Linked DNA regions of Diceros bicornis minor. The protein of the gene in region 4 purifies or fractionates together with the protein of the main gene of each other region. This does not show direct contact. Links are inferred from orthologs where the notes say so. Each region holds a gene or a part of one and is shown on either strand. Other genes may lie near its edges.

Evidence for each region.
Region 1: the proteins of SIN3A (region 4) and BRMS1 purify together in Homo sapiens (affinity purification with western blotting; 4 studies listed by BioGRID and IntAct, with this or other methods). This does not show direct contact. The link is inferred for Diceros bicornis minor from reciprocal best matches to the Homo sapiens genes SIN3A and BRMS1.
Region 2: the proteins of SIN3A (region 4) and ARID4A purify together in Homo sapiens (affinity purification with western blotting; 6 studies listed by BioGRID and IntAct, with this or other methods). This does not show direct contact. The link is inferred for Diceros bicornis minor from reciprocal best matches to the Homo sapiens genes SIN3A and ARID4A.
Region 3: the proteins of SIN3A (region 4) and HDAC4 purify together in Homo sapiens (affinity purification with western blotting; 3 studies listed by BioGRID and IntAct, with this or other methods). This does not show direct contact. The link is inferred for Diceros bicornis minor from reciprocal best matches to the Homo sapiens genes SIN3A and HDAC4.

Annotation. Positions count from the first base shown.
Region 1 is NC_080770.1:7,002,081-7,010,184, forward strand, and holds the start of BRMS1 (breast cancer metastasis-suppressor 1), read left to right. Parts: upstream 1-4,981; 5' UTR 4,982-5,050; intron 5,051-5,069; exon of another isoform or gene 5,070-5,090; intron 5,091-7,940; 5' UTR 7,941-7,947; coding exon 7,948-8,086; intron 8,087-8,104. Other genes in the region: B4GAT1 (beta-1,4-glucuronyltransferase 1), read left to right, coding at 2,508-3,563, 3,797-3,988. UniProt on the Homo sapiens protein: Transcriptional repressor. Down-regulates transcription activation by NF-kappa-B by promoting the deacetylation of RELA at 'Lys-310'. Promotes HDAC1 binding to promoter regions.
Region 2 is NC_080763.1:8,175,684-8,183,437, reverse strand, and holds the start of ARID4A (AT-rich interactive domain-containing protein 4A), read right to left. Parts: upstream 3,459-7,754; 5' UTR 2,903-3,458; intron 1,891-2,902; 5' UTR 1,840-1,890; coding exon 1,834-1,839; intron 32-1,833; coding exon 1-31.
Region 3 is NC_080776.1:26,625,666-26,633,819, reverse strand, and holds the start of HDAC4 (histone deacetylase 4), read left to right. Parts: upstream 1-4,944; 5' UTR 4,945-5,229; intron 5,230-8,154. UniProt on the Homo sapiens protein: Responsible for the deacetylation of lysine residues on the N-terminal part of the core histones (H2A, H2B, H3 and H4).
Region 4 is NC_080744.1:68,207,086-68,214,610, forward strand, and holds the start of SIN3A (paired amphipathic helix protein Sin3a), read right to left. Parts: upstream 3,168-7,525; 5' UTR 2,932-3,167; intron 1-2,931. UniProt on the Homo sapiens protein: Acts as a transcriptional repressor. Corepressor for REST. Interacts with MXI1 to repress MYC responsive genes and antagonize MYC oncogenic activities. Also interacts with MXD1-MAX heterodimers to repress transcription by tethering SIN3A to DNA.

The DNA.
Region 1 (8,104 bases), on a different chromosome or scaffold from region 4:
CCACAAGACCGCCCCCACTTCAGATGCCAATTGCGAGTCCAAGTTGTTACCTATACTTCTGACCAACTGGCTATAAATCAGAGATTCCAGAGACCCCTTCCCTGGATTCCATTAATTTGCTAGAGCAGCTCACAGTACTGAGAGAAACCTTTTACTTACTGGATGACAGGTTTATTATAAAAGGACACAATTCAGAACAGCCAGATGGAAGAGATGCATAGGGAAAAGTATGTGGGAAGCAGACTCCTTGTTAATGGTTTTTGATTCTGGTCTTTGATTCTTTCAGGTCCCACTCCATCACTGCCAGTCCCTCTCCCCAGCCAGGCCTCTCTGCCCACAAGAGCAGGCTTTTGGCCTTCCTCTGGGCCTCTCATGTGGCTTTCCTTGATCTTAACACCCCCCCAAGGCCCAGTCACCACTTTTCAGTCTCCCCTTAGACTAGGGCCCCTGGGGACACTTCAGAAGCTTCTTATTTACTCATTCAACAAACACGTCTTGATGCCTGCTGTGTGGCTTGCATTGCAGTGGCCAGGGGGGGCAATGTGGGCAGACGCCCAGGGAAATCTTCAATGGAGGTAGTAAATGGGTACTGTGTGAGCACTGCAGATGAAACACAAATGTTTAAAGCCCCGACAGGAAGGCGCAGGGTTGAGACTTTGGCAAAGGGAGGACTGTTTGCAAAGGGAGAAACACTTTTATGCTCTGGCCAATTGTCACCCTGTGGGAATGCAAGCCTGGCATTGCCAGATCTTCCAGAATTTAAAACAGAAGTTGGAAATGTGAATTATATGTGAAATCTCCTGATTCCCCAAAGTTAACAACTGACGTGATTCAAATTGTTATTTCTAAACACTAAGCAGGTCAAAGAAAACCCCTGTGGCACCAAATCTGCTTCTGAGCCTCCCTGATCCTTATGATGGGATCCACACATACCTTTCTCCTCTCTCCTGGCACAAGTCACCAGTGAAAACCTTCAAGGACAGTACCCTTGTCCCCTGCAAGGCCCCACGCCCGGTGCCTAACACAGCCTCTGCTGCAGAGCAGGTATTATTATTCAGGGCTGCAGAATATAGGTCTCCTGGTCACTTCTCAACTCAACAACCCTGGCTCCCTACTGCCTGTGGAATAGCGGTCAAACCCCTTACCCTGGCATGCGAGCCCTCCTCAGTCTGTCCCAAAGCACCTTTCCAAGATTCACAGGGCTCAAAAAATTATGTATTACATATAGTAATTGATTTAGCAGTCAAAGAACCTGCCTTTCCCCACAGCCTCTGCTCTTCTAAAGAGTCCTTAGATCGTTTATTCCACACTTATTAAGCGCCTTCTGTGTACGCTGGCTGGTGTGAGAATATTCAAGGCCTTCTGCTTAAGTGCGTGTGTTGGGGAGGGAGGTGCGTGGATACAAGGTCTCCGCCCTGGGAGAAGGGCTGCGGGGAGGGGAATCAGTGGGCTGAACAGAGAAATAATTTAAACGATCAAACACCCCTCCCCCCAAGTTCCACTACTTCAGATAGGGAGGGCAGCACCTTCAGGGGGCGTTTCTAATTCCTGCAGTTAATATATTGGCCCCCAATTAGGCATTGGCCAGAATTTTGGTTGTGGTCTTCTAGGTGCCACCCAACCCTTGGCCCTCTTCTGGAGAAAGAAAAGCACACTTCCGACCTTCGCCCAGAAGGTTCAGACACCTGAAGTACGAAGTGGCCAGAGATGTACGACGAACAAAGGGGAGAGAGGCCCGGGCTGCGCCGAACTGCGTCCCATCCTCAATTCCGTGCTCTTTAACCTGCTGCTCCAGAGAAGCGGCATGTGGAAAATTAAGAATGGTCTCCCGCGTAAAACACGACCGACGAGGATGGGATTCGAACCCACGCGTGCAAAGCACAATGGATTAGCAGTCCATCGCCTTAACCACTCGGCCACCTCGTCCCACGTCCAGCACCCCTTTCCACATTCCCTTATCTCTCATCTCCTCCGCACCTTCCGGGACCCCCTGCATCCATTCCTCAGAGCGGACTTCGTAGGACCTAGAAGGGGGAGACGGCAGAAAGAAAACGGCTTTTTGTGTTCCCTTCCACCCGCCGCAGCCGGGAACCCGCGCCATCATTCTCCAAGCCGCAGCCGAGCTCTGGCAAGGTTTCCCCTCCCTGAGCCGGGGGCGAGCTCGCCGGGGTTTCAGGACGCGCTTGGTTCAGGGGGTCGCGCAGTGATCGGGAGAGAGGGGCTATGTGTCTCTGGGAAGCTGGCAGGCGCGGCGGCGCGGCCGCGGGGAGTTTCAGAGTTTGCAAAGCGCGCGGCGCGGGCGGCGAGTGCAGTGGCTCCTCCTCGCGTGCAGGGGGCGAGCTGGCGCGCCTGGAGGCCGGCGCGGGCGGGCGGGGCTGCGCGCGGGGCTCGGCTCGCCTCGGCTCGCTTCGGCCGCGCTCGGTAGGCTGCGGTAAATCCGGGCTTGCGGCTGCCGGCGGAGCCTGCGGCCCGGTGGTCCCTGCTGCGCGCCCTGCGCCCCGAGAGCCATGCAGATGTCCTACGCCATTCGGTGCGCCTTCTACCAGCTGCTGCTGGCCGCGCTAATGTTGGTGGCGATGCTGCAGCTGCTCTACCTGTCGCTGCTGTCCGGGCTACACGGGCAGGAGGAGCAAGACCAGTATTTCGAGTTCTTCCCCCCATCCCCGCGGTCCGTGGACCAGGTCAAGGCGCAGCTCCGCACCGCGCTGGCCTCCGGAGGCGTCCTGGACGCCAGCGGCGACTACCGCGTCTACAGGGGCCTACTGAAGACCACCATGGACCCCAACGATGTGATCCTGGCCACGCACGCCAGCGTGGACAACCTGCTGCACCTGTCCGGCCTGTTGGAGCGCTGGGAGGGCCCGCTATCCGTGTCGGTGTTCGCGGCCACCAAAGAGGAGGCGCAGCTGGCCACGGTGCTGACCTATGCGCTGAGCAGCCACTGCCCCGACATGCGCGCCAGGGTCGCCATGCACCTCGTGTGCCCCTCGCGCTATGAGGCCGCGGTGCCCGACCCCAGGGAGCCGGGGGAGTTTGCCCTGTTGCGGTCCTGCCAGGAAGTCTTTGACAAGCTAGCCAGGGTGGCCCAGCCCGGGATCAATTATGCGTTGGGCACCAATGTCTCCTACCCCAATAACCTGCTGAGGAATCTGGCTCGTGAGGGGGCCAACTATGCCCTGGTAATCGATGTGGACATGGTGCCCAGCGAGGGGCTGTGGAGAGGCCTGCGGGAAATGCTGGATCAGAGCAAGCAGTGGGCGGGCACAGCGCTGGTGGTGCCTGCCTTCGAGATCCGCCGAGCCCGCCGCATGCCCACGAACAAGAATGAGCTGCTGCAGCTCTACCAGGTGGGCGAGGTGCGGCCCTTCTATTACGGGCTGTGCACGCCCTGCCAGGCGCCCACCAACTACTCCCGCTGGGTCAACCTGCCAGAAGAGACCTTGCTGAGGCCTGCCTACGTAGTGCCCTGGCAGGACCCCTGGGAGCCATTCTACGTGGCTGGAGGCAAGGTGCCCACCTTCGACGAGCGCTTTCGGCAGTACGGCTTCAATCGCATCAGCCAGGTGCTCAGAGGGGAAATGGGGCAGGAAGGGTGGTGGGTTCAGGGAGCTATGAGTGGCCCTGAATGGAAAGGAGGCAACGAGGCAGGAGGGATCATAGTTCAGGACGTGGTTGGATGGTGTGGAAGATCCAGGATGCCTCCAGAGTAGTGGGGATGCTGGTGTGCTGCTTTAGGGATGTTAGCCTCAGCTGAAGGAATGTCAACAAACTTGCTGACCTGTCTCTCCCCCCACAGGCCTGTGAGCTGCACGTGGCAGGATTTGATTTCGAGGTGCTGAACGAAGGTTTCCTGGTTCATAAGGGCTTCAAAGAAGCCTTGAAGTTCCATCCCCAAAAGGAAGCCGAAAATCAGCACAATAAGATCCTTTACCGCCAGTTCAAACAGGAGTTAAAGGCGAAGTACCCTGACTCCCCACGTCACTGCTGAGCCCTTCCCTCTCCTAGTCTGAGAAGTCAGCCTCCTCCCTCCTTAGGCCACCCCTCAGGCCTGACAGGGGTGAGAAATTTCACTCCACTTTGCAGTGGTAGCTGTGGTGTTAGAACACTGGACTTGAATATGGGGTGCTGGGATCAAATCCTAGCTTTACCACTAACTAGCTGTGTGGCCTTGAGCAAATCCTGTTCCCTCTCTGAGCCTCAGTTACCCCGTCTGTAAAAAGGGAGGTGAGAATATCTACCTCACAGAACTGTTGGGAGGCTCAGATGAGATGCTATATGTGAAAACATTCTGTAAGCTTCGTACAAATGTAAAGTATTATTAATATTATTACAGTATTATTATTATTAACAGTCTTGGGTGGGTGGGTAGTAGGAGAGCAAAAAGTATGCATGGGACAGAGCTAGAAGTCTGAGTACTTAACAACATGGACTTTTTGGAAAGAAATCAGAGGAAGGCGTTGAATTTAGTTCTTAGGTTTTGGGCAGTAGCCTAAACTTCCTGGTTCTCCCAGCCTTCCGTCCTCGGGGACTCTGGAGAAGGGAAGGGTCTGCAGGTTGTGTGTGTGGTAGTCCGCGATCTCTAACCCTCGAATAGGCTGGGCTGAGTTATTTGCCTGCCAGTGACAATGTGTAAATAAATGAGTGTTCACATCTACAGCTGGCTCCATTACTCTCCTGTACCGGGCGGGCGGGGAGGTCCCGGGTTCGCCCCTTTCACGCCGGGGGTGGGAGATGGCCGCGGACCAAGGGGCGACGGCTGCAAAGCAAGGAAACCACAAGGGCCTTTCCCGCCGGCTGAAGACCTCTGTGCATTTCGGCCGGTTGCTATGGAGACCGGCCCGCAGTATCCCAGCATGCCTTGCCCCGAGCTGTCCAATTATGAGCTCTCCGACGGGCGCCTCCTGATGATGCATACGGAAGCGCAGACAAGCCCCGCCTCCCGGAGAAGAGCGCCGGCGCAGCGCTTCCGGGAGTCCGGCGGCCAATACCCGTAGTTTCGGGGTCCTCTTTGGGAGTCGCGGACGTGAAGCCAGAGGACCCACTCTCCGCGGTGCGTATCGCCACCCCTGGTCCCTGGTTTCGCCTCTTCGGTCAGTCGGTTCGGAGCCGGCCCAATCTCCAGGGCCGAAGGGGAGACTTAACCGGCTGGATGCTTGGGGAGCCGCAGCTGGCTGCGGAAGAGCCAGTGGCGGGAGGCTTCGGCGCCCCGCGGAGGGGCTGTTGGCCTCTTCGAAGGTGGGGAAGAATCTGCCTTACATGGAGGCCTGCCCTCGAAATGGTTACTTTCTGAAAAGATAAATTGCATGTGCACGGCGCCTTACAGTTTGCTTTTCCATCTCTTACCCTTTGCGATCTTTACAACACTTAGAGTAGCAGTGCTTGTCCTTTTTTTGCACCCGAGGTGTGTGTGTGTGTGTGTGATTTACTTTAGTTCACTGAGTAGAATCAGCGACAGCTGGAGAGACTCCCTCCCTCCGCCGCCCTTTCTGGTCCCGAAAGGTAGGACTTAAGTCGCGTCTTACAGAGTAAATATATTTAACGGTTAAGAGGGATTGCGAAATTTGGGAACTGCAAGAACTGAGGCTTGAGAACGGGAAAGATAAGGCTGGTTTGGTGAACCCAGGTTTTCAGGTCAGGTTCAGATCGTTTGTGAAATCATTGAGGAATGTGACTAAGCTGCCCTCTAGGCTAGTTATTTACACAACTCGAATTGGCCTCCGGGAAAGTTAACAGAATATTGGGTTTGCTACCACTACAGGGGCCTGACGCTACCAAGAAGTAAAAGCCAATCCCTGCCCCGCAAAAGTTTGTTTTGTTTAATTTGTATTTGCAAATCCACCAGTTACCAAGTGAGTCAGTACTGTGTTAGGTGAATACGGCGCATGTGCAGCCCTGCCCTGGTGAGGCTTACAGAATGGCTGGGGAGACAGGCATGAGAATGGACAAATAGAGAGGTGATGTAAGCAGATAAAGCTTCCTGGAGGGAGTGTTGTCTACAGTGATCTAAAGGACTACAAAGCAGGGCCCAGAGAGTTTGGGAAAACATCACAGTGAAATAGAAGCCCCCAGCAAGCGGAGATTATCTGTTGAGAGGACTGTTGAGTCTTCCTCTCAGGTGATCTCTTGGTAACATTTGGCCCTGTCACTGCTCCATCCTTCTGAAATTCTCTCTCCCCATAACTTTGAGTTTCTCTTCCTCCACCTCTTGCTAATTTCCTTCTCCTTTGTAGAGGTTGCATCATCTGTCTGTTTGGTGACCCTGGGAGTTCCATCATGGGCCTCTTCTCGCTCCACACATTCTGCCTTGCTGATTTCACCCTCCCTCAAGACCTGAAAAACTCGCTAGATGCTGATGACCAGATTTCTGAGCCCAGATTTCTCTCTGAGGCTTAGATCCACGTGACCCCAGCTCTGCTCCTTCTCTCATTATATGCTACTCACTGTACTTGGAATGTTCCTTCCCTCAACCAGCTCAGCTCCTCGGTCTGGCACACCTTCCTCTGCAAGCCCTCACTGCTGCGGCAAGCTCCAGGTTTCTGTTAGATGCCTCTCCCATCTGCCTCCAGTCTCAGCTCTTCTCACACCACAATAATGGTCTGTTTCTTTGCCTCTCTCTCCCAGGAACTTGTAAACTCCTTGAGGTCAGAGACTGTCTGTCTGTCTGTCACAATTGTGCCCAGTACTACCATAGTGTCTGATGGTACCTAACATATATTAGATTTTTTAGTAAATAGTAGATGAGTGAGGGCCGGCCCCGTGGCTTAGCAGTTAAGTGTGCGCGCTCTGCTACTGGCGGCCCAGGTTCGGATCCTGGGTGCGCACCGACGCGCTGCTTCTCCGACCATGCTGAGGCCACGTCCCACATACAGCAACTAGAAGGATGTGTAACTACAACATACAACTATCTACTGGAGCTTTGGGGGAAAAAAAGGAGGAGGATTGGCAATAGATGTTAGCTCAGGGCTGGTCTTCCTCAGCAAAAAGAGGAGGATTAGCATGGATGTTAGCTCAGGGCTGATCTTCCTCACAAAAAAAAAAAAAAATAGTAGATGAGTGAATAAAAGAAAGACTGCTTAGCAGTGTTTAGTGTTGCTGCAAAGTCAACTAAGATAAGCACTGAAAAATGGCACTAGGTACAAAGAGGTCCTTGGTTAACTCTACAGGAGTAGTTTCAGCCAAGCGATGGTACTGAAATGGACTGGAACAAGCTAGAGGTGAAAGAGTAGGACTAGCAAGGGTGCACAAGGCCTTGAAAGTGTAGATGAGAGGCAGACAGCGGGGAGCAGTTCAGTGGAATGGGGTGAGGTTTTGTGTTGCTGCTTTTTCTAAATGGTGGACAATCCCTGAGCGTGTCCACAGTGTCATAGGAAGGAGCTGGCGAGAGGGAGAATTGAAGATACGGAAGAAATGACATGAGATCCCACAGGAAGCAGAAGGAGATGGGATTTGACCCAGAGCCCAGTGAGAAGACAGGAAGATTGTCGAGTGTTCTCAGGAAGGGAAGTGGAGGGTGTGGAGCACGAGAAGGGGGGAGGAAGTGCATGGTGTATGTGAGAACTGGCCATTAGATGGTGGGGTGAGGAGCTGGACCAGTAGTCCAAGTCTAGTCTTTGCAGGGCTTTGAAAGCCCCAGTCCCAAAGGCAGTGGGGAGCCCCCCTTGGCCTTTTCCATCTTATGAAGCATCACCTTGGCCAGTATTCCCAGGACTGGGATCACTAACAGTGGCCAAGGGCCTGGGCGTTTCTGTGGCTCCCACACTTCTGGAAGATGTGCAGACAGGGCCGCTTGCAGCCTCCCCACCCATCATGTGCTCAGGGTGTGGTGCGTCCAGTCACTTCCCCAGCTGTCCCTGTCTGTGGTCAGGCTTGGTTTGACTCCCCACGTGGCCGCTTTCCTGCTCGGAGCTGCGGGCTGTGAGTGATGGCTCCACTCCTCGCAGAGCCCAGATGCCCGTCCAGCCTCCAAGCAAAGACACAGAGGAGATGGAAGCAGAGGGCGACTCAGCCGCCGAGATGAATGGGGAAGAGGAAGAGAGTGAGGAGGAACGGAGTGGCAGCCAGACCGAGTCAGAGGAGGAGAGCTCAGGTGAGCCCCACACGCACA
Region 2 (7,754 bases), on a different chromosome or scaffold from region 4:
CCACTGTCAGGTAGGCAGGCTCATCCGCCGCCTGATGAAAGGAACATAAAATGTGAATGTCACTACTATTTTCCCTACTCCAACCTCAAGTCTAATTAAAAGGTTGGGTATTTAAAGTAATAAGAACCTTAATATTATCTGCTTAGTAATATCATTGATAATTTGAAAAATATCCCTAAAGCAAACACTTTATTAACAATGCTTTATTTAATAAACTATACCCTGATAACATAAAACATTTTAAGTTGTAACTGGAAGATATCAGTAGGGAAATATGTTTTTTCATCCAGATACAAAATGTTTCAATAATTCTACAATTTATTTAAGAAATGAAAAGATAAGAAAAAACAGAAAAAGTTATATTCATATTAAGTTCTCATAAAACTTTAAGTTATTTAATTATGGCTTCTCAAAAATTTTCTTTTGGAATTAAAAGAAATATTGCTATTAAAATTAACACTAACAATACATAATTAAATGTTTATTAATATAGCTACATAAAGGCAACATCTTTTTGGATACAGTATAACAGTACAGATAAGAAATGAAGCCAATCCTTTTGAAAAGGAGAGCATTATTTGGAAAAATCATTGGCTAAAAGCTGTATTTTAAAGGTTTAAGTCTAAATTCAGCGGATAAATACAGAGATATGAACTGACGGCTCAAGACTTGTAGCTATACCCAGATTATTACATTAATCTTCTTGGTATATATTTTAAAAAATAAGCTTTACTAAGAAACATCTAAACATCTAAAACATCCGTTTTAGCAAACGGCCATGATCAGAATGATACATTAAAAGATAGGAGAAATTTTGTCCTACCACTCATTTTAATCTTGACAGTAACAGAATGATTGCTATCTCAGTCTGTTGTTTTACCCATTTTTTTCAAAAGTTAAGTGTATTCAAATAAGCTTGATTTCACACTGCTAAATGCAAAGGCAACAGTGTACACTTTAGAAAGTAGAAAATGATTTTTCATTTTCCACTAAGGTTTCCTAAGTAACATTAAAGAAGGTTACATGTGTCACTTCAGGGAGATAGGAGAACAAGAGAAAGTTTGGGAAAATGCTATATTTCAGAGCTTAATACATTGAAATTTACTAATTAGTAAGGAATTAACTACCTTTTAAAGTCAGTGCATTTACAAATAATGCAAATTGAAAAATCCCTTTGACTGACCTGAAACATTCAATGCCACAGCACTACAGAATGCTGTACTTTCCTTTTCCTTCAACCATCTCACAGGATCTTTGCAATATTAGCTGTCTTCACAAGAATATGTATTTTTTTAAGTTGCATATGTCTAAAAATATCTACCATAACAAGTTAACAAAAACTAAGTATTAATACTTAGTTTTAGTTTAACTTCAAGTATTTTAGCCACATAATTTCATTTTATCCCCAAAAGAAATTATATCTCCCTTACACAATCCACATATTCCTTCCTTAGAAAATCGCACTGGCACTGAGAAAGAAAAAAAAAATTCAAAAAATCCCCCAAAGAACCAAAGCAGGACAAAAGCTTTACTTCTGCAAAGGTTGCTGCCAACACAGGAAGTGTTTAAAAATACTAGCCCAATGGACAACAATGGAAAGGCTGCACTCGCCTTTCCCAAGTGCTAACTGCTTAGAGAGGGGCCGAACTGACAGCCTTTAGACACCATGATCATTTCTCACCCATTCAACGCGTCCTCATTTTCAGAAAGCGCTGCTTAGCAGAGGAATCAATTTTGAGTCGCAAAAAAAAAAAAAATGACATTCCACAGCACCAGCCTCACGACAGGCAGTGTCCAGGGCACGAGGCTCAGAGCGGCGACGACTCCACTTACCTTCATTTTTACGGGTGATCTGTGGGGTTCCAGCTCAGCGAGCTTTCTTCTCCGTCGCTAGAACCACGGGGAGGGGAGAGACAGGCACAGAATCAGTCAACAGAGGGGAGCGACCGGGGAAAGAAAGTAAACAAACGCCGGCGGGGAGGGGCAGAAGCCTCCCGAGCGGAGGGCTCCGATCCCTCGGAGGGCGGCCAGGACGCAGGAGCCGCGGGGACAGCGGGCGCCCCGCGGGCGCCAGAGGGCTGCCGCGCCGGCCCGGAGCTCGCCAGCGGCCCCCGCGCCCCCGCCCGCTCGCCGCTCGGACCCGAACGCTCCACTCAGAGCCCAGGACAGAGGGCTCTGGAAGGGGGCCGGGCGCGCCGGGGCTCCCCCGACCTGGCCCGCGCCCCGCCTCCGCGCTCGGCCCCTCGGCCCGCCCCAGGCCCGCGGTGGCGGCAGCAGTGTCACGGCGCCATTGCTCTCCCTCCTCCGCGCTGCACCGTGTCAGGAAGGAGAAGCGCGTTTCCCCGGGGGCAGGGGCCGCGGCCTGCGGCGGGCGGCGGGGGCGCGAGGGGAGCCCCGCGGGGCGGGGGGCGGGGAGGAGGAGGGGAGGCGGCCGGACAGGGTGTGGGAGGGGAGGGGAGGGGAGCCGCACAGCGGCAGCCGCCGCCTCCTCCCGCGCCCGCCTCAACTTTTTGTACAGCCCGTAGCGGAACGAGCCCCCAGCCTCCGGGGTCCTGCCGCGGACTCTGCAGCCGAGGACGCGCCGCGGAGTTGGGGGCCGGCTCCTGCAGGCTGCCCGCTCCTCCCCGCGCGGAAGCAAACTTAGCGGCGCGGCCAGCCCCACAGCCATTTTCCCGGGGAACCCGGGAAGCAAGCGGCCGAGGCGGCGGCTGCGGTGGCGGCTCCTGCAGTTGCTGCCGCTGCCCCACGACTTGCCCCTTCCCCTGCGCTCGCCGCGCCCCTGGCCTCGCACTCCCTCCTCGCCTCCAGAGCCTCCAACCGCGCCGGGACCCCGGGCAGCAGCACCAGCTGCTACTACCGCCTTGTCCATTCAGGGTCCCCCGCCTCCCTTCTCCCCACCTACCAACTGCGGGCGAAGTGCGCGCTGTCAGCTCCCGACTTCTCCGCTTCACTGACCCCCGTGGGCCCCCGTCTGGGCAGCACCACTCCCGGCCGCGGCGGCAGTTCCTGCGCCCGGTTCCCCACTCGCCCGATTTACTGCCACAATCCACCAAATAACAAGCTGTTGAGCAGACTCGCTTCTACACGAACTCCCATTGGCTGCTCATGACGCCGAACAGCTTCGGATTGGAGCTCGCTACCTGCCGTCCTCATTGGATGTAGCTCTGAAACTTCCCGGATTGGTGCGAAAAACAGCAGGTAGGACATCTTCCACTTATGATTGGCTGTGTTCGAAGGCTAACGTTACTGGAGACTCTGGTATTGAGTAAGCAAGTCCTGAGAGATGATTGGTAGAGACGACTCCGGATGTGCTTGACTGAGCACTGATTGGTACGTGGAGGGGTCAGGAAGAGCAGTTCGGCACGAGGATTGGCGGTGAAGTGTCCCATGGAAACCGAACCCGGAGCTGCGGCCAGAACTTGCACGGGGGCGGGGCAGGATCTCTCCAAGGCGCCTGCGCTAAACTGGCTTCTCGGCGCCATTTTGTCTGGGCAGCGGTGGCCGCAGCTCTAGCGCATTTTATGTTTCTGGCAAGATGAGAGCGGCGTCTTCGTCCCGTAGCTTCATCTTAGCGCGGCACCCATTCAGCGTTCCCTGCAGGACAGCACCTGGGGAAGGTCGGAGGAGCCGCGGACCTTTCAGAAGGTCAGTTGGAAGCTCTGGTTGTCCGAGGGACTGGGGGATGGCGCAGCTCTGGCGGCGCCGGCACCGGAAGTGGAGGGGCCGCGCGGCAGCCATGGGCAGAGGCTTCTCGGGGCGGCGGGGCGGGGATGGGGGCCGGGCTGAAGGGGGCGAGGCCTCCGCTCCCGCCGCCAGAGGGAAGGAGGTGGAGGGACGCGCACGTCTCTCTCCGGGCCCATGCTTTGGGCTCCTGTCGAGGGAGTGAGAGATGTCTTGGATTGTGCTCCTCTCCGAGCAGTTCCTCCGCCCTTCGGAAGCGGGCTTGGGAGCCTGTCCGGTTCTCCGGCCGAGGGCCTCGGGCTGTGGCGCCTCCTTCCCGCGGACGGGGAGGCCGGGTTCTGAGTCGGTCGCCCTGCGTGGGGGCGTGTCCGCGTGCCGCTCGCGCGGCGGGGTCAGAGAAGCGGCGGAGCGCCCTGGGTGCCCGGCCCGAGGCCCGCGCGCTGCTGCCCTGACCTCAGACTGTGCGCAAACACTCCAGATAAAAGGACCGCCCGGGAGGACTTGGCTCTGGGCGGCCATTGGTGGTGTGCTGTTAGTCAAGTCTTGTGTTCTGTTAAATACAACAAAAACACGTTGGAAATGGTGGAACAGGGGCATTAACTGGCGAGTTGTTTTAAAGAATGAAATAATTAAGAAAACGTAAAATATTGTGGATAATCCACATTGACTAAATTTACTCAATAAGAACATCTTAATTAAAGCCGAATGAGTTTTTCATTAATCACAGTGATGTTTCTCAAAATTACTTATTAAGAAAGTGAACCGTATGTTGGTATTTCTGTTGAGTGACCTGATCACATTGATCTTGATAGCTGCTTAAAATTATCCTTGTAATACCTCTGTTTGAACCCTGTTGCTCTGTTGGTGGGGCTCCAGGCTGGAAAATGGATGAGTGATTTAATAATTTATGGGGTTTTTGTTTTTGGCAGTTGGTTTGAAGAAAACAGGACCTCTCCGTGACAAATATCCCCACGTATTACTGAGGTGAGTTCTAATATCTGTAAAAATCTTTAGAATTGGGAAAACTGTCTGGAAAAGTTTTTTGTGGACCAGTAAAGTAGAGCCATAAATAGCAGAATGGAAGAATGATAGTTGAAAGGTGTTTTTTTTCGTCAAGGGTTCACTTGAGTGTGTATAATTAGCTTCCTGATGTGATGTTTTAGAATGAAATCACAAAATTAGGACATACTTATGAATTGGCTTACCCATTCATGAAGGTCCCATTTCTGACTTTTTAAGTACTTAGTATTTTTATTACGGCATAAAATGAACATTTTTGTGATTTTTTTCCTCCATATTTAAAAAGTTGGTGTAGGGCCGGCCCCGTGGCTTAGCGGTTAAGTGCGCGTGCTCCGCTGCTGGTGGCCCGGGTTCGGATCCCGGGCGCACACCGACACTCTGCTTCTCCGGCCATGCTGAGGCCGCGTCCCACATACAGCAGCTAGAAGAATGTGCAGCTATGACATAGAACTATCTACTGGGGCTTTGGGGAGAAAATAAATAAATAAAATCTTTAAAAAGTTGGTGTATAGAAAAGATATTTCAGTAAGAGTTTGCAAGTGAAGCGATTTTTTTTTTTCTTAAGGAAATTATAAAACAGTATAATGCTGCTGAACTTTCCAGGGGGTAATCACCTATAATTCCACTGCCCAACTTAAATTGGTATTATCTGATCCAGATAATGCATGTCAGTGGACATTTGGAAATTACTAATACTTACATATTATGCAGAGGAGTTTCTCTTTTTTGTTGGTTTTGTTTTACAAAATAAAGGTCATTCTAGTCGTGCTCATTTTGTCACTCATGTTTTTTACTTTGTGGAGAACACTGGGAACATGGGAAATATTTTGTCCTTCAAGCGTTTTTCATAGGTGTGTAACGTTCTGTAGGATAGGTGTACCATAATTTATATAACCTGTTGTCTTAATTTTTCTGTAATAGCAACAACATGTCTAAATATCCTGCATGTTGTACAAAGGATTTTGCCTAAGAACTGACATCTGTGGCTAAAATTTCTAGGCATCTAGATCTTCCTTCACATCCCTGATTATTTCTTTTGAATAAATTCCCAGAAGTGGAAATAAAAGGCCAAAGGGATTGTACATTTAAGGTTTTTGATCCTTGCACAGGTGTCCATCAGAAAGCTTTTGCTCTTACCACACTTACATTTTTTGTTCTTTTTTCTTTTATCACCCCACCCCACCCCTGTTTTCTATTTTTTCTTTAGCTTTATTTTATTTTAGCTTTATCTTTCTTCTGGGTCTCTGTTTATTCAAGTGGAATTATCACAGCTTTTTAGTCACACATATAGTAAAATAAATTTGGAAATTTTTCTGGGACCTTTGGAGTGATTTTTTAAAACTAATTTTTCATTCTAGAATAGTTAGGCATTTATACAGTGAAACCTTTTGCTACACAGAAGTGACATTGAGAGGAAACTAAAAACAAATTGTTTTTATGGTAGAGTTACTTGAGTTTAACTATTGTATGTTTCCCTGTAACTTTCCTTAAAGTTTTCCATCCTTAAGTGCGTTCTCTTGGTGCCTTTTTACCCTCACAAGACCCTCTGCATGCCTCTCTCATCACACTTACTCTGCAGTTGTTTGGCTCTTCCCCAGCTTGAGACCCTACTCCCAGGGGCAGCAGCTGAGGTTTTAATCACTGTTGTGTGTCCCTGCCTGATACATGATGGGTGTTCTGTCAGTATTTCTTATGAATCTGTAGGTGCTTTTGTATACAAAATATGTGAAATAAGCTAACTTAAGTTTTCTTTAACAGTAATTCTCTTCTGAGAATTTACGATGTTCCACAGATGCTCTTAACCTTGAAAACTTTTTTAATTTGTAATTGCTAATATAATGTGCATTTAGAGAACCCATAAGAATAGTTATGCAAGATTTTTTTTCCTCAATTCTTTTAAGGTGTTTATGATATTTTAATGGAAGGAGACTGTAAATCAGTATTAACTGAACAGTCACTAGACCATCTCCTAGATATAAATGGAAGAAAATTATGGTAGAATTGTTTTTTGTAACCTATTTCAGTGACCCCAAACTAATAGAATAATGTTTTCTACAAAATCAAAAGTGTCAAATTTTTAGTAATGTTTCTGTGATGAAAGGCTTTTTTTTTTTTTTTTTTTGGTGAGGAAGAGTACCTCTGAGCTAACATCTGTTCCCAGTCCTCCTCTTTTTGCTGAGGAAGATTGGCCCTGGGCAAACATCCGTGCCCGTCTTCCTCTACTTCATATGTGGGATGGCTGCCACAGCATGGCTTGATAGGCGGTGTGTAAGTCCACGCCCGGGATCCAAACCTGCAAACCCTATGCTGCCAAAGCGGAGTACACGAACTTAACCACTATGCCACCGGGCTGGCCCCAGTAGAAGGCTATTTTGAAAGCAGAATGTTTTGCTTATTTGGTCGAGGGTTCAAATGAGGCTTTATAATTAGTTTCCTGACGTGATATTTTAGAAATCTCAAAATTAGAACATCCCTATGGATTTGTTTACCGTTCATATGGTTCCCATATCTGAATTTTTAATCACAGAACACTATAAACATTTTCATGATTTCTTTTTACCCATGGTAAAGTACTTGACATAGATCTCATCAGTAAAAGTGTTGAGAAGTGAAGCAGTTTTTTTTTTAAAGGAATTATAAACCAGTCTGTGTTCTGAGTGTGTGGGCTATAGCATACTCAAAACTGAAAGAAATCTTTGTCTTCTAGAGTAAGCCTCATTTTGTGGAAAAATGAAGGAAGGTGTTCCACTTTTAAAAGACCTGGATCTGCTATCTGTTGAAAATTCTGTTTCTGGTATGTCATTTTACTTAACTCTTCTTTGGTAATCAAGATTGTCCATGTTATTATTACATATATCTCATTTGAAAAATGATAGAATTTGTTTCATTGTATAGCTATTTCTGTAAATGTCTGTGTTGAGAAGTGGAACAGATTGCTATGTTGAGTGTAGCTGCTGTCCTAATGATTTAATTATTTTTTTTGGAAACGTACATAATTTGCTTATTTGTAACCAAAGCAGTCTTCGCAATCTCTGTATGGTCATTTGTCCTCT
Region 3 (8,154 bases), on a different chromosome or scaffold from region 4:
TTTATGGAACATGATGCAAACGCTCTGCCCAGTCATTTGTCTTGTAAACTTGTGTTTTTGATGCACCAAGAGGTTCCACCCCTCCCCCTCAAACTAGGGCAGCTATTGCCTCCAATATTTTTTCTTTGGTGGTAAAATCTCCCTGTGAAGGGCACAGCTCTTAAATTCATTGAATTTTGGTAAGTGTTTTCCCCTGTGTGATCTCCACCCCAATTAAGACGTGTGCCATCTCCATTAACTCAGGAAGTTCTCTGGTGCTGGGGTTCCCAGTCAATCCTCTGCCTGCCCCCTACCCTCAGAGAGAAGCAGGCTTCTGATGTCTGCCCCCATAGATTCTTTAGGCTGGGTCCTGAATTCCACATGAACAGAGTCGTACGGTATATACTTCTTTGTATCAGACTTCTTTTATGACGTTTTTGACGTCCATGCACCTCTATCAGTAGTTCATTCTTTTTTATTTCTGAGTAATATTCCTTTGTATGAATATGCCACAATTGGGATTTATTTCCCTGCTGATTGTACCCAAAACTTTAATTGTAACATAGTCAAATATATCAATATTTCCCCTTACAATTGTTGATGGTATTTGGATATTCCATAACTCTATGGAAGGTCCACTAACAGTTTTTTCTTAGTACTTTTATGGCTTTTATGTTTTTAACACATCTTTCCTCCATCTGACGCAGTAGGAATCCAACTTTATTCTTTTCCCTCCAAATGATTAGCAGGTGCCCTCCCACATGGTTTTCTCACTGATTTGAAAAGCTACCTTGATTGTACGTTAAATCCTTACAGGGGTGATGTTCAAAATAGTTACCAATTGGTATGGTGCAGGCACTGACCAGCCTGTAAGGATGCCCACCCAGAGCAGCTGGGACAGACGAGTCACATACTGGCTGGATATCGGCAGGAGTTCTTGTGTTTGCTGGGGGCTGTTTCTTTACTTTCTGTTATTTTCCATCGCTCTGGGCCAGTCCACGTTGTTTTCATTCTGGAGCCCAGATATGTTTTGTTTTCTCTCTCATCACTCTTGTTTCTGACTGTTCTCAAATGTTTATTCTTCCAGATGAACTATTCCACCATTTTGTCAATTCCCATGAAGTTCCATCAGAATTTAACGTTACATTTAGGTATTTAAAATGTTCTTTTGCTAATGTGATGGGGAATTTTCCATCGAGTTTTTCTAATGCATATAAAGTGTTTAGCACAATGCCTGTCCCATAGCGAGTGCTCAATAATGTAAGCATTTATAAGTACTGAATATTGTTAGCATGTCTGAAAGTTCTTGTTTTTTCTATATATTTACTTTATAATTGGCCACCTTGCTGAAGTTCTAATTCTAGGGTTGTTTTTTTTTTTAATTTGAGTCTTTGGGGCTGTCTTTATTTCTGATCAAAGGATTTGTTTTCTTCTGTTAACAATGGGATTCGTTTTCTTTCTAAAGCAAAGCGTTGCAGACTCTTCTATAAAATGCCCTTGTATGAGCCCCATCTGGACGTTCCCTGGTGTTTGGGCTGTGCCTGACCATGCCGCTCATGCTCAGCTCCAGCGTTAGAGACCTTCCTTCCACCGTGCAGAACTCTATTGTACTGAGCTCTTCCGACAGGCTGTGGACAGATCTCCTTCAGCCAGACAGCCCCTTCAGAGACCTAAAGACACACACAGCCACACACACTTTCAAGTCCTTCTTCTCCAAAAAAAGGAAAGTGTGATTCTTCTGCATGCTGGCCCGACAGTTACCAGGTGCCTCGCTTCCTGAAGCGCTCTCAGGACTGCAGGTGAGGCCTAACTGCCACACAGCGATGGGACCATTCATTCTTCTGAATGCAATTCTACCTTTTAGTGAATCCCACCGAGGATATCCCAGAACTCTTTCATGTCACTTTTTCTTCACTTGTAAAATTAATTTTACTAGACCTATATGCAGCATTTTCCCTGCATTTCTCTTGATTATTGAACACTTTAAATAACCCTGTTCCTTAATTTTTATCATTTAAATGTGACTCAGTCACTGATCCTGTTTCACCTTATACGAAAATTGATGAGGGTACCACTTCCATCATCAGCCAGGTCACTAGTGGTAATTTTCTTCAGCTGTGTCTTTTGTTTTAAAATTCTGCAATTCACTATTCATTTGCTTCAAAGTTAAGCTTAGGACAGGCATTTCTACCCACAACGCCTACGGTTTTCTTTTTTGTCACTGCCGTTGAGTCAATTCTGACTCCTAGCGACTCTCTGGACAGCCAAGCTCAACTCTGCCCCGTCTTTCTGAGCCAGGCTCTTACTTTCCAGAGCTCTATCAGACAATGCTCCACTGCTATTCATAGCGTTCTCATGGCCAATTTTTTTCAGAAATGGGTAGCTAGGTCGTTCTTCCTAGTCTGTCTTAGTCTGGAAGCTCCACTGAAACCTGCCCACCAAGTGTGAGCCTGCTGATAGTTGAAATACCGGTGGCATAGCTTTCAGCATCACAGCAACATGCAGCCACTACAGTATGACAACCGACAGACAGGTGGTGTGGTTCCACGATTGGGAAACAAACCCAGACGGAGGGAGGGAGAGCACCAGATCTTAACCACTAGACCACCACAAAGTTTTCTAATCATTACTTATTTTTTCAAGATATTTAACATATTACAAAACTGTGCATTTTCATTTTGAAAATTGTATTTTTATCCACATAGCTACATTTTTTCCTCCAAAAGTCACTGATCAAGAACGACAGTACAACTAATCTCTGCTCATTTCTAGAAGGAAAGGCCCTCAAAGTAAGCAATCACACACATCTGCCAACATCCCACAGCCTGACTTTATCACCGATACTCCCGCAGGCTTCAGCTCTGTTTGCCTCTGGGATTATTCTAAGATTGATAAGTAAACTGAGCTACTTTCTGATTTTCTTTTAAGTTTTGGAGAGTTGAAAGAAAAAAATTCAAAAATTCCACATTACAAAACAAATAAAAGGACATAAAACCACAAAGGAGCGATTTTCATTAAAACAGAAATACTGTTTCTTTTCCCCCTGGAAAAAGCATCTGGGCCATAACACTAAGTTAACAAGCGATGAAGATTTATCAGCGTCTTTTTTCCTTGATGTGAGAATGAGTATTGAGGGTGTCAGTGAGGGAGGGTGTCTCCCTCCTTTAATCCAGCAGGTAATTTCAGATAACCTTGTCACCTCTGGCAATTTCTCCATCGATTTTTCTTCTTCTTTCATGACCAAGTTCTCAAGATAGGTAATACTCCTGTTCCCTCTGACATCCCTGTATATCTTCGTATGTAGTTCAGTGTAATTCTGTCTCCTGGTTCTTGTTACCAAAGCCTGAGAAATAAGGACATTTTGGTATTTGAGGAAAAAAACAATCCCTTGGATGCAGTTCTTAAATGATCTACCTGATTCTGCTTTCTAGAAAAGATGCTGCTTTAGTTAAGCACCAACATATTTAACAGACTTTGGTTATTAAGATCTCAAGCTTTCTGAGCAGTGTTCACCATTTTTGGTTGTGAAACATGCTGAGAGGTTTCAAAGTATCCTGCATGATATAAGGTTTCATGGAAGCAAATTAATTGTAGATCTCTTTTAATTTAAACTATAGATTCCATATAGCACTTTATGAAAGGAAGTGTTTTATCAACAAAACAACGATGAAACGCTGCAATTTGAATACCATTGTTTTAGTCTTTCCTTCCATCGAGACTGGATCCGCCAAGAACTGCCAACAGGTGTATTCCCATGCAGGTCTGAGCACGCAGGACAGGCTATCATCAGCAGCATTTAGTTTCTGGAGGGCACCCGTGGGAATCACGAACCCTGTGGCTCCCATGCACGGGCACACTTTGTCTCACTTGGTGAACACACGGGATTCTGAAAAACACTATGGGCACGGAGGCTGAAAAGTTGTCACTCTTCTGCGGGACACATGGGGTCCTTTAGCGCGGCGCAGACCACCCCACCGGCAGCCTCAAAAGGCTGGGCACTCGGGCCAGCAAGGACCTCGGAGCACCAAGGACCCAGGTGAAATCACAGGGCGAGCCCATCACCTCCTCCGCCCAACCCTGGATTCGCAGCCCCGGCAGCCACGGCGGCCTCGCCTCAGGCGGCCCAGGACCATTCCCATCAGCGCAGGCGCGCTGGTTCCGTCCCACGCCCCCTCGCCCCGGAGGCCGCGTTCCCGCCGCGGGGCAGGGCGGGGCCCAAGAGCCTGCGCACTCGTCCTCCGCACGGCCCCTGCGTCTCCGGGCGCACGCAGCATCACGTGACCGCTGCCAGTACCCAAGATGGAGGCCGCAGCCAGGCCTGACCGGCTTCCCGCTTCAGCCCGCGCCGCGGCGTGCGCCCGCCAGGCACGCGGTCCTGAGCCCTAGGGTGGTGGGGGGCAGCTCTTCGAGGGCGGTCGAGGGGCACTTGCCAGGGCCAAAGGCCGTATTTACAATCACTACTCGCTCGAGCTCCCCGTGCTTTCTCAACCGCGAAGCGCCCAGTGGCTGGCGCCTTGAGCGTCGTTTAGTACCCCCGCCCTGGGGATTGGCAGCTTCGGCAGCCAATGGGGCCCAAGACATGTGCGGGTAGGCGGGCGGGGGTGGAGCATCCTTGCCGTCCGTAGAGCGTCCGGTCTGGCGGTTGGCCGCCGCGGGACGAGGGGCGGGAGCAGACGGGGCTGTACCTGGTGTCCCAGAAGACCAATGGGAGGACGGCCGGGCGCCCGGGGAGGGCGGGCGGCGGGCGGGGCCGAGCCGTAATTGACGACTTCTTCATTAGAAACCAGGCAGGAGGGAGGGGCTCGCGAGGGGAGGTGATGCAAGGCCACCGCAGCCAATGGCTGCAGCGCCGCTGGAGGGAGGGCGGGGCCGGCGCGGCTGACGGGCGTCGCGGGTGGCCTATCAGCGCCCGGCTCGGTGGTGGCGGGGGGGAGCAGCATCATGGTTCAACGTGGGTCAATTTTTTGTGAATGAGGAGGGGAGGTTGTGGGGCCGCCGCCGCGGAGCACCGTCCCCGCCGCCGCCCGCGCCCGAGCCCGCGCGCCCGCCCGCCGCCCGCCCGCCCGCGCCGCCGCCTCAGCCGCCTGGGCCCGGCGCGCCGCGGCCGCGTCCCCGCTGTCGCCGCCGCCCGAGCGCCCGCCGCCCGCCCGCCGCCGGGGTGGTGGTGGTGGCGGCGCAGGCTGAGGAGATGCGGCTCGGAGCGCCCGCGCGGGGCTAGAGCGCCCGCCGCCGCCGCCGCCCGCCGCCGCGGTAAGCGCAGCCCCGGCCCGGCCGCGGGCCATTGTCCGCCCCCCTCCGCCCGCCGCAGGCCGCCGCTCCACGCCCCCCGCCCGCAGCCGCCCGGCCCCGGCAGGTGGACGCCCGGCTCCGCGCCCCCGGCCCGGCCCGTGCGCCCAGGCCGCGCGCGCCCAGCGCTGGGGCTCTCCGGAGCGGGAGCCGAGCCCGCCTGGACCTCCCCTGCAGCCCAGACAGAACGAGGGCCGCCGCCAGGCGGGGGGCGCACGCCGCCCCGCGCCCGCCGTCCAGGCCGAGCCCTCGGCAGGTGGGCCGGGGGCCCCGGAGCCCGCCGCGCCGTTTATGTAACTTTGTCACGCCTGTGAGTTTGCAGAAAAACGTCCCTCCCGGGCCCGCGGCGTGGGGTGCGCCGTCCGCCGGCGGGTGCGCCCCCGGCCCGTCGCGGGAGGGGTGGGGTCTGTCCACGACCCGGAGGGGGTCCCCGCAGGATCTCCACGGGCCGAGACGTGGCTCCGTCCTGCCCGGAGGATGGGAGCGGCGTTTCCCGGCATTGCAAACACACACCACGGCATTATAAGCAAATTATCTCGTATTTACATTGAACGTTGAATTATTTGACACTGTTATAGCAGGAGACTGTGCGTATCAGTCGGAAAGGCCGGGGGTGGAACCCAGTGTACTCATTTAATGCACATCAAAAATTTGTAATAACTTGCAGCCGCTGATATGAGTGTTTTCTTTATTGCATGTTGTAAATTGACCTGCTGTGACACAATTTTCAAATAAAGCGTGGCAGAAATTAAACTTAAGTTATTTTAAAACTAATGACTTTCTTAACTAAATCCTAATTGCATTACTGTAGAGACCTATGTAATTGCTTGCTGAGAGCAGCTCTGCCTGCCCTCAGTGGGGGAGGACCGGGCCTGTTACTTTGCTTCCCCGCGTTACTCCGGCTTTTTTGTTTATTCCCACAAACCATCTAAGCATGGAAGGCCTGGGAGTAAACATGTAAACAGCCCTCGCCCAGCGCCTGCCCAGCAGGATTGAGGGAATACTGGTGGGTTTGCTCCTTGGCCTGGTTTCACTTTTTCTTTTGTAATACGATCATGGTTGCCTGGAGTTTTAATTGCTTCTGATAATTCGGTGCATTATTTGAGAGACCGTCCTGTGAAAGCTGGTGTGGTGGCTTCAGAATCTAGCCACGAGAGGTGGTGGTGGTGATTGGGGAGAGCGAGAGAGATTGAATTAAGAAAACTCAGCTGCTTGTACACAAATATACTCTACAGCAATTACAAAGCAACAAAAGTTATTGCAGAATTTTGCAGTAACTATGGCAACACAATTACTCTATTATAATTGGGAATGCAAAATGCCACCCTGTTAGAAGTTTCATCAGGATGGAATTTTGGATATCAAAAAGATGTGAGATTTAATTTTTTTTCAGGTAGCTCCTGAGAATTCTACAATCTGTGTTCCATTATCTATTTTTAATTCTGATCAAGCTTTCCCAGATATTCCACTCCCTGGGATCTGTGGCATCTTTCCCCAGAACTCACATTTGTGTGGGAGGGAAGTATTTTCCTGCCTTAAAAACACACACCCTGACACATTGTAAGACTTCTCTAGCTTTCTGTCTTCTGGACTTTTATTTTAAAGATCAAATACCTTCCTAAAGAGAGCAGTAATCAATCAGAAAAGAAGCAGGATTTTTGCGGCAGGCAGATGTAACACTGCCCTCTTTAGGGTTAGTTCTTTCTCCTGCAAGGGGAGCTGGCAGCATGAGTGCCCCTGGGGGAGCCCTGGGGCCGGGGTGGGGGCTGGGGGATGGATGACTGTGGTCTGCACGGAGGCCTGGAAGGCCTAGGGACCAAGGACAGATGTGGCCTAAGCAGCCCTGAGCCAAGAGAGAATGTTCTGTGGTCAGCAGCTTCGCAGCCATGCAAAATAAAAATCTCCAAATGTTGTGCTCTCAGAGGCCTTGGGGGCTGTAACTGTAGCAAGATGGACAGAACAACATGGCACCGTGGCCATGTGCAGCTGGAGCGGCAGATCTTGACTTTCAGTAGTCAGAAACCTGCTTTATACGGATGGCCCTCTTGATGTTTACCAGGAGGACTCGAGTTCTGGAAGTTTCCACACATCGTGGGGTTGCTGCAGTTTAATTTCATTATAACTCTTTCTTTTTAACTACTGCATATTTATGCCCAGTAATCGACTTCCATTTTCCAGCTTCATTGTGAGGTTTCAATGCTGCATGAATGGCTTTGAATTCTCATCCTTTGATGTTGGGGGTGGCACCAGAGGAAAGGGACTTTGTGCCGTCTTAACTGCTGGAGCAGAAGAAACATGTCATGACTCCTGTAGAATTCGTCCATACCATTCGTTCTCTATTGAAAACGGCTGGGCTTTCATGGCTCAGAAGCTGCTATGAGTAATAGATTAATACCTGATGTAGGGAGTGAGGGAGAGGCAGCGAATGAGAGGGGATACATGCCTGTCCAGCCTCCGTGGAAGCTTCGGATTTTGCCCTCGTTCTGCAGCCTGAGAAGCTGGGCCTGAGCTCCTGCTGTTCCAGCCGGAGGGCGAGTCCCTCCCCGTTGGTTGCAGCCCCCTCCTTGGGCCTGGGGTGGAGGGCAGGGGTCGAGTTTGGAGGGGGTTTTGTTTCAGTCTCAGATGGTCAGCATATGCTGTGGTGTGCAGTGGGCTCAGGGCTCTTGGCTTTGACCTTAGAGGAAGGTACAGCATCTTCTGGTTGGAGTCAATCTGCATTTTAACAGACCTTAGCAACCTATGCTTACAGGGCGTTTCTTTTGGGGAAAAAATGTAACTGAACCAAGATCAATGAGTTCTCTTCATAAGGTCCCTTTTCTTCTTTTGGGCTTATGTGAGTGAGGAGAAGGGGTGGGTGGGGCCTGTTTAGGGTACAAGGTGGGCTGTGGC
Region 4 (7,525 bases):
TCTGGAGCAGCCGACAGCTCCTTTCAGTAAGTAGAGTACAGAATTAAGGGCTGGAGACTAAAGCCGAGAAATAGCCCCAAGAGTTGCGAGCTCGCAGCTCCGGGTAGCTGCACACTCCTAACACCGACACTCCCTAAACCTGAATATGCAGTCCTAAGAAGGCGGAGATAACCAAAATGAAGGCAGAGCCTAACAGCCACCGCCTTGGCAAACCTCCTGAAGGCGGAGCGTGAGGCTTAAGGCACTCCCGATCTCCAGGGTAGATTTGGAGGCATCCTCAGACTCGAAAAATTGAGGAAGGAGACCAAACAGGCCACAGCATAAAGGAACCTTCACCCCACACTTCAGAGAAAGGATAAAAGGTCCAGAGTTACAGACAAAAGATAATAAGAACGGCTGGTCACTTCCTCCTTGGCCAACGAGTGTTAATGGCAGTACCTAGGCCCTCTCTGTGTAGGTAATAGTGCCTCGAACACAAGAGACAAAGTGCTTGCAACACCTAGGTTGCTTTTATTTATTCACCAAATAGGGCAAAGAACTGACTCTGGCCTTGCTTTGGGGGGCGCTCACAGAGCGCCAGGAGAGGAGGGGGCGGGGCCAGAGTTTTCCCGCTCTCTCTAGCAAAAAGGCTACTCCCCCAAGAGAGGCTAGAGTCAGTCCCCAAGTGGCAGGCCCCCCGCAACCGACTCCTAGCTCCTGTCTTGTCCTCCTTCCACAACCCAGCGGAGACGGCAAGAATCGAGCGCTGGCAACAGGTGGGCCTGACTCCAAGGATGGCTTCCAGCCGCAAGGAAAAGGCAGCGAACTGTGAACTCCATGAGTAGCTGACAGATGGGAGCAGTCTCGCCGGGAGCCAAGCCCTGCCCCAGAACGGAGCTCTAAAAATAAGTCACACAGACCGAAGCGACCCCTCGGCCAAACCTGTAGGAAGTTACGAAGAAGCGGCACTTACGCAGAAATGACCTAGGGCTACCTTTAACTTGGGCTGTCCCCCGCTCCCTGGACTGGGTGCCACACGGTGCTCCTACCTGGACATCAAGAACCACTTCGAACTCAAGTAGGATTGGGCCGCCCCGACTTCTCGGTCAACAGGGGATGAGCTACCCCGGATCTTGCCTAAGGCATCCAGGCCAATCCTAGGTTGCTCAGAGTTTTAGATAAAGCCAAGTAAGGACTGCGGCTGCCTTGCGCTGGGAAGAAAACACACTGTCAGCGTCGGCAGCGTTCTCAAGCTTAAGCTCAGGGTGGTCTCCTGGAAGTCGAGAGGCGCAGGAATAGTCCGAACTTTAGTACTTGGCCCGGAAGGACAGATCGCACCTCCTCCTCCCAACCTCTGCAGAACCCCCGGAGCTAAGCCCCCCAAATCCACTCCACACCGTCACCCTTACACTTCATCACAAAGACTACCAGGTCGCGAGCTTGGAGGAATCATTGTGTGCCTTCTCGGTTCTCCCTTCCCCCCTCCCCCCGCCAAGGGCTCCGAACCGGGGACTTCCGGGCGGGAGGACAGTTCGAAGGAGCAAGGCGGGCCTCACACATGTGCGGAGCGCGCACACAAGCGAGGGGAGGGGGCGGGGAACAGGGCTGGACTTCCCTCTCCAAGCTCGCTCCGCCGGAGCAGGCGGGACTATCCATCTCACCAACCAGAAGTGGGGGCGGGACCTTGCGCCACACGTAGGCCGCAAGAATCCTCCTCCGCCCTTCACTGAAAAAAATCCTAGCAACTTAAACTCCAGCCCGGTCTCCGATAGGCGGAGCTCGGGAGAATGTCACCCAATCGATAAGCGAGAAGGAAAAAAGGGAGTCTCGTCCAGCCAGTGGAAGACAAGAGAAGGCGGGCTCTCTGGAGGAGCCCGAGGTGGGTGGAAGAGACAAGACAAGGCCCCGCCCCTCGGCCCCGCTCGGGGCTGGTTGCACAAGCCGCCGCCGGAGTCGATAGTAAATAGGCTAGGCCAAGGAATGGAAGCTGGGGCAACCCGGCGCTCTGTGGGCCGGGGCCCCTGCGCCTCCTCTCCCGGCGCGCCCCGCCCAACCCCGGCGGTTCACGCCGGCGCCCCGCCTCCCAGCCCGCGGCCGCCATCCCGGCTGACAGGCGCGCCCCCCCGCGCCCCTCCCCGCCCGCTGATGCATTTCCTTTTCCCGATTCTGAGCGTGAAGACTGTTTTCCCAGTTTCCGACCTTCACTGCCCCTTTCAGGCAACCCCTCGTGGGCGCGCACACACGCCCGCGCCCCCGTCCCCGCCCCATCCGCGGGCGAGCGGCACGACCGGGGGGTGCGGCGGGGACCCGCCGCCGCCGCCGCCTTAGGGTGGGCGGGGAAGGAGGGAGCTCCATGTTTGCAAGGGGATCAGCTGGGGCCGCGGGTCGAAGCCGCCGAGTTCCTGGAGGTTTTTCCACATCCCCGGGCCGAGTTCCGCGCGGGTTCGCGGCCTGGTGGGTTCCGGGACCGAATGCTGGCTCTACTGCCACGGCTCGGGAGTTTGAAGAGCCCAGACCGGCGCGCGGGGCGAGTGCCGAGGCGCGGGGGGCTCTTTCCGGTGTCCTCCCCCACCCCCAGCAGCACCTCCCGCGAGTCCAGCGTTGCCCCCGCCCCCAGAGTCCATAACAACCGCGGGCCCACCGCCCCCTCCGACAAGTTTGCGGACAGAAACAAAACCCTCGCGGCGACTGCCGCCCTCGCCCAGCGTGGTTAGCGGGGAAAGCCGCGGGCCTCGGCTCGCTAGCTAACTCCAGCTCTCGACCAACTCCGGGCGCCGCGGGCTCAGGCCGCCGCCCCCTGCCGAGCCCGCGCGCCGCAGCCCGGGCCCAGTTCCAGTCGGTGTACGGAATCTCTCCTTTTTTCTTCTTTACAATAATTTTTTTTTAGGCATTCCAGGAGCGGGGAGGATCTCCTCCTGCCCGCCCCTTACCCAGTCCGCCGCCGAAACCTACCGAAACTGACTGCTCGGTGAAATAAACTAGGCAGCACTGCCAGCGCACTGGCGACCCCGGGCCGGGCCGACCCCCTCCCCACGGATCGGGCCCGGCTTGGAAACACACACTGCCGGGCGGGCGGCGCCAAGAGCTCTCTTTCCTGGCCTGCCCCTCGCCTCCCTCGGCTGCCGGACTCCGAGCCTCCCCTAGCTCCGAACCGGGGCCTTCGGCGCCCGCACCGTGGCGGACTGGCCAAAACGACCGGCCGGCGAACTAGCCCCCCAAACGCCCGAGATTGGGGAGACCAAATGAAAAGCAGCTGTTTAACATACCTTCCGAGGCAGGCGAGGAGTCCTGAATGGGGGGGAACGCCCCCCATGGGCCATTGGCTCCCCGGCGCTCGCGTCAGTCACCCTGGGCCCGCCTCCTCCCCTCGCTCCACCTCTTCCCCTTCATTGAACGCCCCCTACCTCCAAAAATATATAAATAAATAAATAAAACTAGCCGCGAGTGGGAGGCCCATCCATGGCAGAGGCTTCTGTCTCTCCGGCACCGCCGCCTCGAGTTTCTTGAGACCCTTGGGAGATCCGCAGGGTGTACCCAGAGGAGGAGCTAGCGGGGCTACTCGGCCACCACTTCCTTCACATACACACCCCATTTGGAGCCGGGCAGAGGGAGGCGGGTACGGACACCCTAGCGACCGGCTGGAATGTCCCGATTCCCCTGGCTGTGTAACCGAACCGTTTCTGGCCCATTCTGTTAAGGCGCCTGCCTAAAAATGAGCAGCGTAAGCGGGAAGTCCTGCGTTCAGGGCAACAGGCACTTGTCTGAGCATCTAATGTGGGTGAGGCAGACACATTCATACCGCACCTGCTGCTGGGTACGATTACAGAGACTGGATGAAATGCTCTGTACCCTCCAAGGGCTCCACACCTAGCTGAGGGTATGCTACAGAAAGAGCTAAGGCAAGGCAGGAATGTATATATAAATACACATCCATAGAAGCTCAGAGAAGGGAGATTCTTTCTAGCTGAGGAAAACTGGGAGTCTTCATGGAAGAGGCAGCACTCAAGTTGGGTCTTCAAGATTTCATCAGGCAGAAATGGAGGGGCAAGTCATTTTCAGCAAAGGGCACAAAGGGGTAAATGCAAAACATTGTTAAGGACCTTCAAGTGTGGCTGTAGTAATGAAAATCAGGGTTGGAAGGATGGAACAAAACGGCAGAAGACTTTAATAACTGGTTAAAATTCTTAGACTTGCACAACACAACGTGCAAGCAGCATGGTCACAGGACCACAAGCCCAGAACTATGGTTTAAGATACTCAATATCCCAGCAGCTGGATGGGCTCTGAGAGTAGGTTGAGTGAGGAGTCACTACAGGAAGCAAGGTGAGGCACAAAGGTTGTTGTAATACTTGGTTTGGAAACCTCAGAGGTACACCTTCTGGTAGGAGGGGTAGGTGGGGGGGACCCGAGAGAAGGCTTCTTTTCTCTTTCCCAGCCACCCAACCCAGAAAGCCTTCCCTACCTTCAGCAGCCCTCAAGTCAAAGATCTGCCTCAGATTGTTCCCAGAATCATTTGCAGTGTTTGTCATAACTTTCAACCAAAAAGAGTTTCTGGGAGGCAAAGGCTACTCCACATGTCTGCGCTCAACAGAGCTGAGCCTGGGGCCAGGGCACACAATGAGTGAGCAAGCAAGACCTGTTGATTGAGGCATCCGGGAAAGGAAGTTAGTGTGGATCAGGTGGGATATGCAGAATGTGAAGGGTCTTAAGAGTCCTGTGGGCAGAATGGGGGCCTGTGCCAGTTAATCAGTCCCAACAATTCAGGTGAGATGTCATGAGGACTTGACCAGGGCAGTGGCAATGGGTAAGCAAGAATAAAAAAGGAGAGGTGTTTAAGAAAGACTCAAGGGGACTGGGTGACTGATTCAGTGTGAGTAATGGAGGGAAAGGAGTCAGTGGCCTGGTATGTGAAGAGGCAGAAGAGTGTGAGGCTGGTGGTTGGGTGATCTGGGTTCTAGACATAGCATGGCCAGTGACTGGTATATCCTTAGGCAAGTCCCTTCCTCCCTCTGGGGCTGTTCCCCCCCACCTCACCCCCGGCTGGAAATTGGAGTACAAAGACAGGCTCTAAGGACCCTTCCTTCTCTCACTCAAGAGTCCCTGGGGGTGAGGGGTCTGATGAGGAGGGAAGCTTGCCTCTAAGGAGAGGGCAGACTGGAAGAAATACTGATTTGCAAGGGCAGCAGATCATCCCAGGTGGAGTGGGGACTAGAATTTGGGCAGTAGCTTGGTTGATGGAATCACTGAGGGGAAGGGTGTAGAGGGGGAAAGGCCAGGAGATGAGGACTGTGTATTCAGTGGGAGGCCCAACACCTGACAGGGCCATAGAGGTTGAGGTTCATTCTCAGACTGGGGGCTCCCTAGAGTGAGGACCAAGTTTTTCTACATCAGATCAGAGATCCCTCGATGTCTGGAGCCCCATCTCAGATTCCTGCTCTATTTCCCAAGAGGTTCTGCCCTAGATGAAGGCATAACACATGCTGTGAACGTGAGATGAGGCAGAGTGGTAGACCAGAAAGAATATTAGTCTGTAAGCTGAGTCCCACCTAATCTCTTTTCTGTGGATCAGCCTCCTGTCTTGTACAAGAGGATAACATAGCAATCTTTGCCCTGTTATGAAGATCAAATGTGATAAAATGTGCTTTAATATACCTAGTTAGGTTCTGAGCTTCTGTGGAGGCCAAAGGCCCAAGCATTTGAGTGTAAGCCTGGACAGCGGTATACTGTGGATGAAGTTCCTTTAAGGAGCATTTGCAACTAGAATAGTTACTCCCACTCAGAGACCCAGACTTTTTTGACACTTCCTACCCTCCTGAGTGCACCACGCTGGTGGAAATCCCCTCCTGAACACCCCCTAGACTGAGCTCCTAGAGCATAGCCACTCTATCTAATTTCACCTCTGAGCCCCCAGTGCCCACAGCAGTCAGGCATAAGAGGCCCCTTGGAAGGGGTCCAGTGATTGTTTCTGACTCAGTACATTGATGCCTGCATAGCACAGCCAGTCCCAGACTCTTTGGGAAAGTGAGTATTTGATTTGGCAGCATTGGCCCTCCAGCTGCACTGAAGGTTGCATCCACCCGACCTCTTCCCTACTGTCTATCAGTGAGGACGGAACAGTGAACGGATCTGGGTGAGAGCTTCCTTGGAAAAGTCACATTGGGAAGCCAAGTTCTGATTCCCAGGAGGCCTCTTTTGTGTGAGTTAGGGATTATTATCCTGTTTGTAGTTGAGCAAACTGAGGCTCAGAGCAGTACAATGACTTGCCCAAGTCAAGCAGCCATGGCAATTCTGGGCCCAAAGCCTGAGCTTTGTCTATGCCCCCATGTGCTATCTATCTCTATACACACTAGGGTACCATGGTCCAGGTTGGGGCTTCTGGATAAAAACAGCCTCCCCTCCTGCTCCACCCTCCCTACTTCCCTAACTCCAAGAGCAGTTTGTCCCCAAATAGTTCTAAATGATTTCTGGCCCTTTCCAAAAAAAATTATCCTCAAAGACGCAAGATTTGTCTCCCAACCACATATATACATGCCTCCTCAACTCACAACACATATACAGTACTCAAAACTCTCACACCTTCTGACACGCTCTCTCACAGGCATCACACACACATATACCCCCTCATTCACAAAAAGGACTCATTCATAGTTCTTGAGGGTGCTTATGGGTTGTGATTGACATTTAGGGCCTGCCTTTCAGTGACTCTGCCAAAAAGATGTCAGCGTCAGTGCTAGTGCCCTGCTGACAGAACCTCTGCCAGCTATAGAAGACCATTGTCAGCTTGGGAATATCCAGATGAGGGGCATCTGAGACTTGCTCCCACCCCCAACCCAAAGTACCCTACGGCTTCAAGGGGAAAACTCAAGCTATTGTTCAGAATCCCAGTTTAGTTGCTTCCTAGCTGGACGTCTTTGGCAAGTCACTTATCTTTCCAATTTCCTTATCCGTAAACTAAGAATAAGAATACCTACGTGATGGGGCAAGCCCCGTGGCATAGCGGTTAACTGCGCGTGCTCCACTGCTGGTGGCCCGGGGTTTGGATCCGGGGCGCGCACTGATACATCGCTCGTCAAGCCATGCTGTGGCGGCATCCCATATAAAGTGGAGGAAGATGGGCACAGATGTTAGCCCAGGGTCAGTCTTCCTCAGCAAAAAAAAAAAAAAAAAAAGAATACCTACATGAGTGTGGTAAAAATAAACTATGCCTAGCATTTAGTCAAGACTTCTCAGAACTTTTTCTCCTTTATCTTGTTGCTATACCCTTGTCTCCTGGCCATTCAGATGTGAAGTTTCCGGTGCTGCAGTCTAAGAGCCCAGGACAGGCCTAAAGGACCCAATGATCCCACTGTGTGAAGAAACTATTTCTCTGACAACCAGCTGGCTTAGGTTGTACATATTCTGTATTTCTGATTTCTGGGCGGCTTTGGAGGCTTGGAATTTTTTAGTGGGTTTTAAGACTGCTACTCACTGCCTTGAAATGTCTTCCCCTCACTGAGCATTAATTTACCCCTCTGGGTCACTTCCAGTCCAAATCTAGAAAACAGAT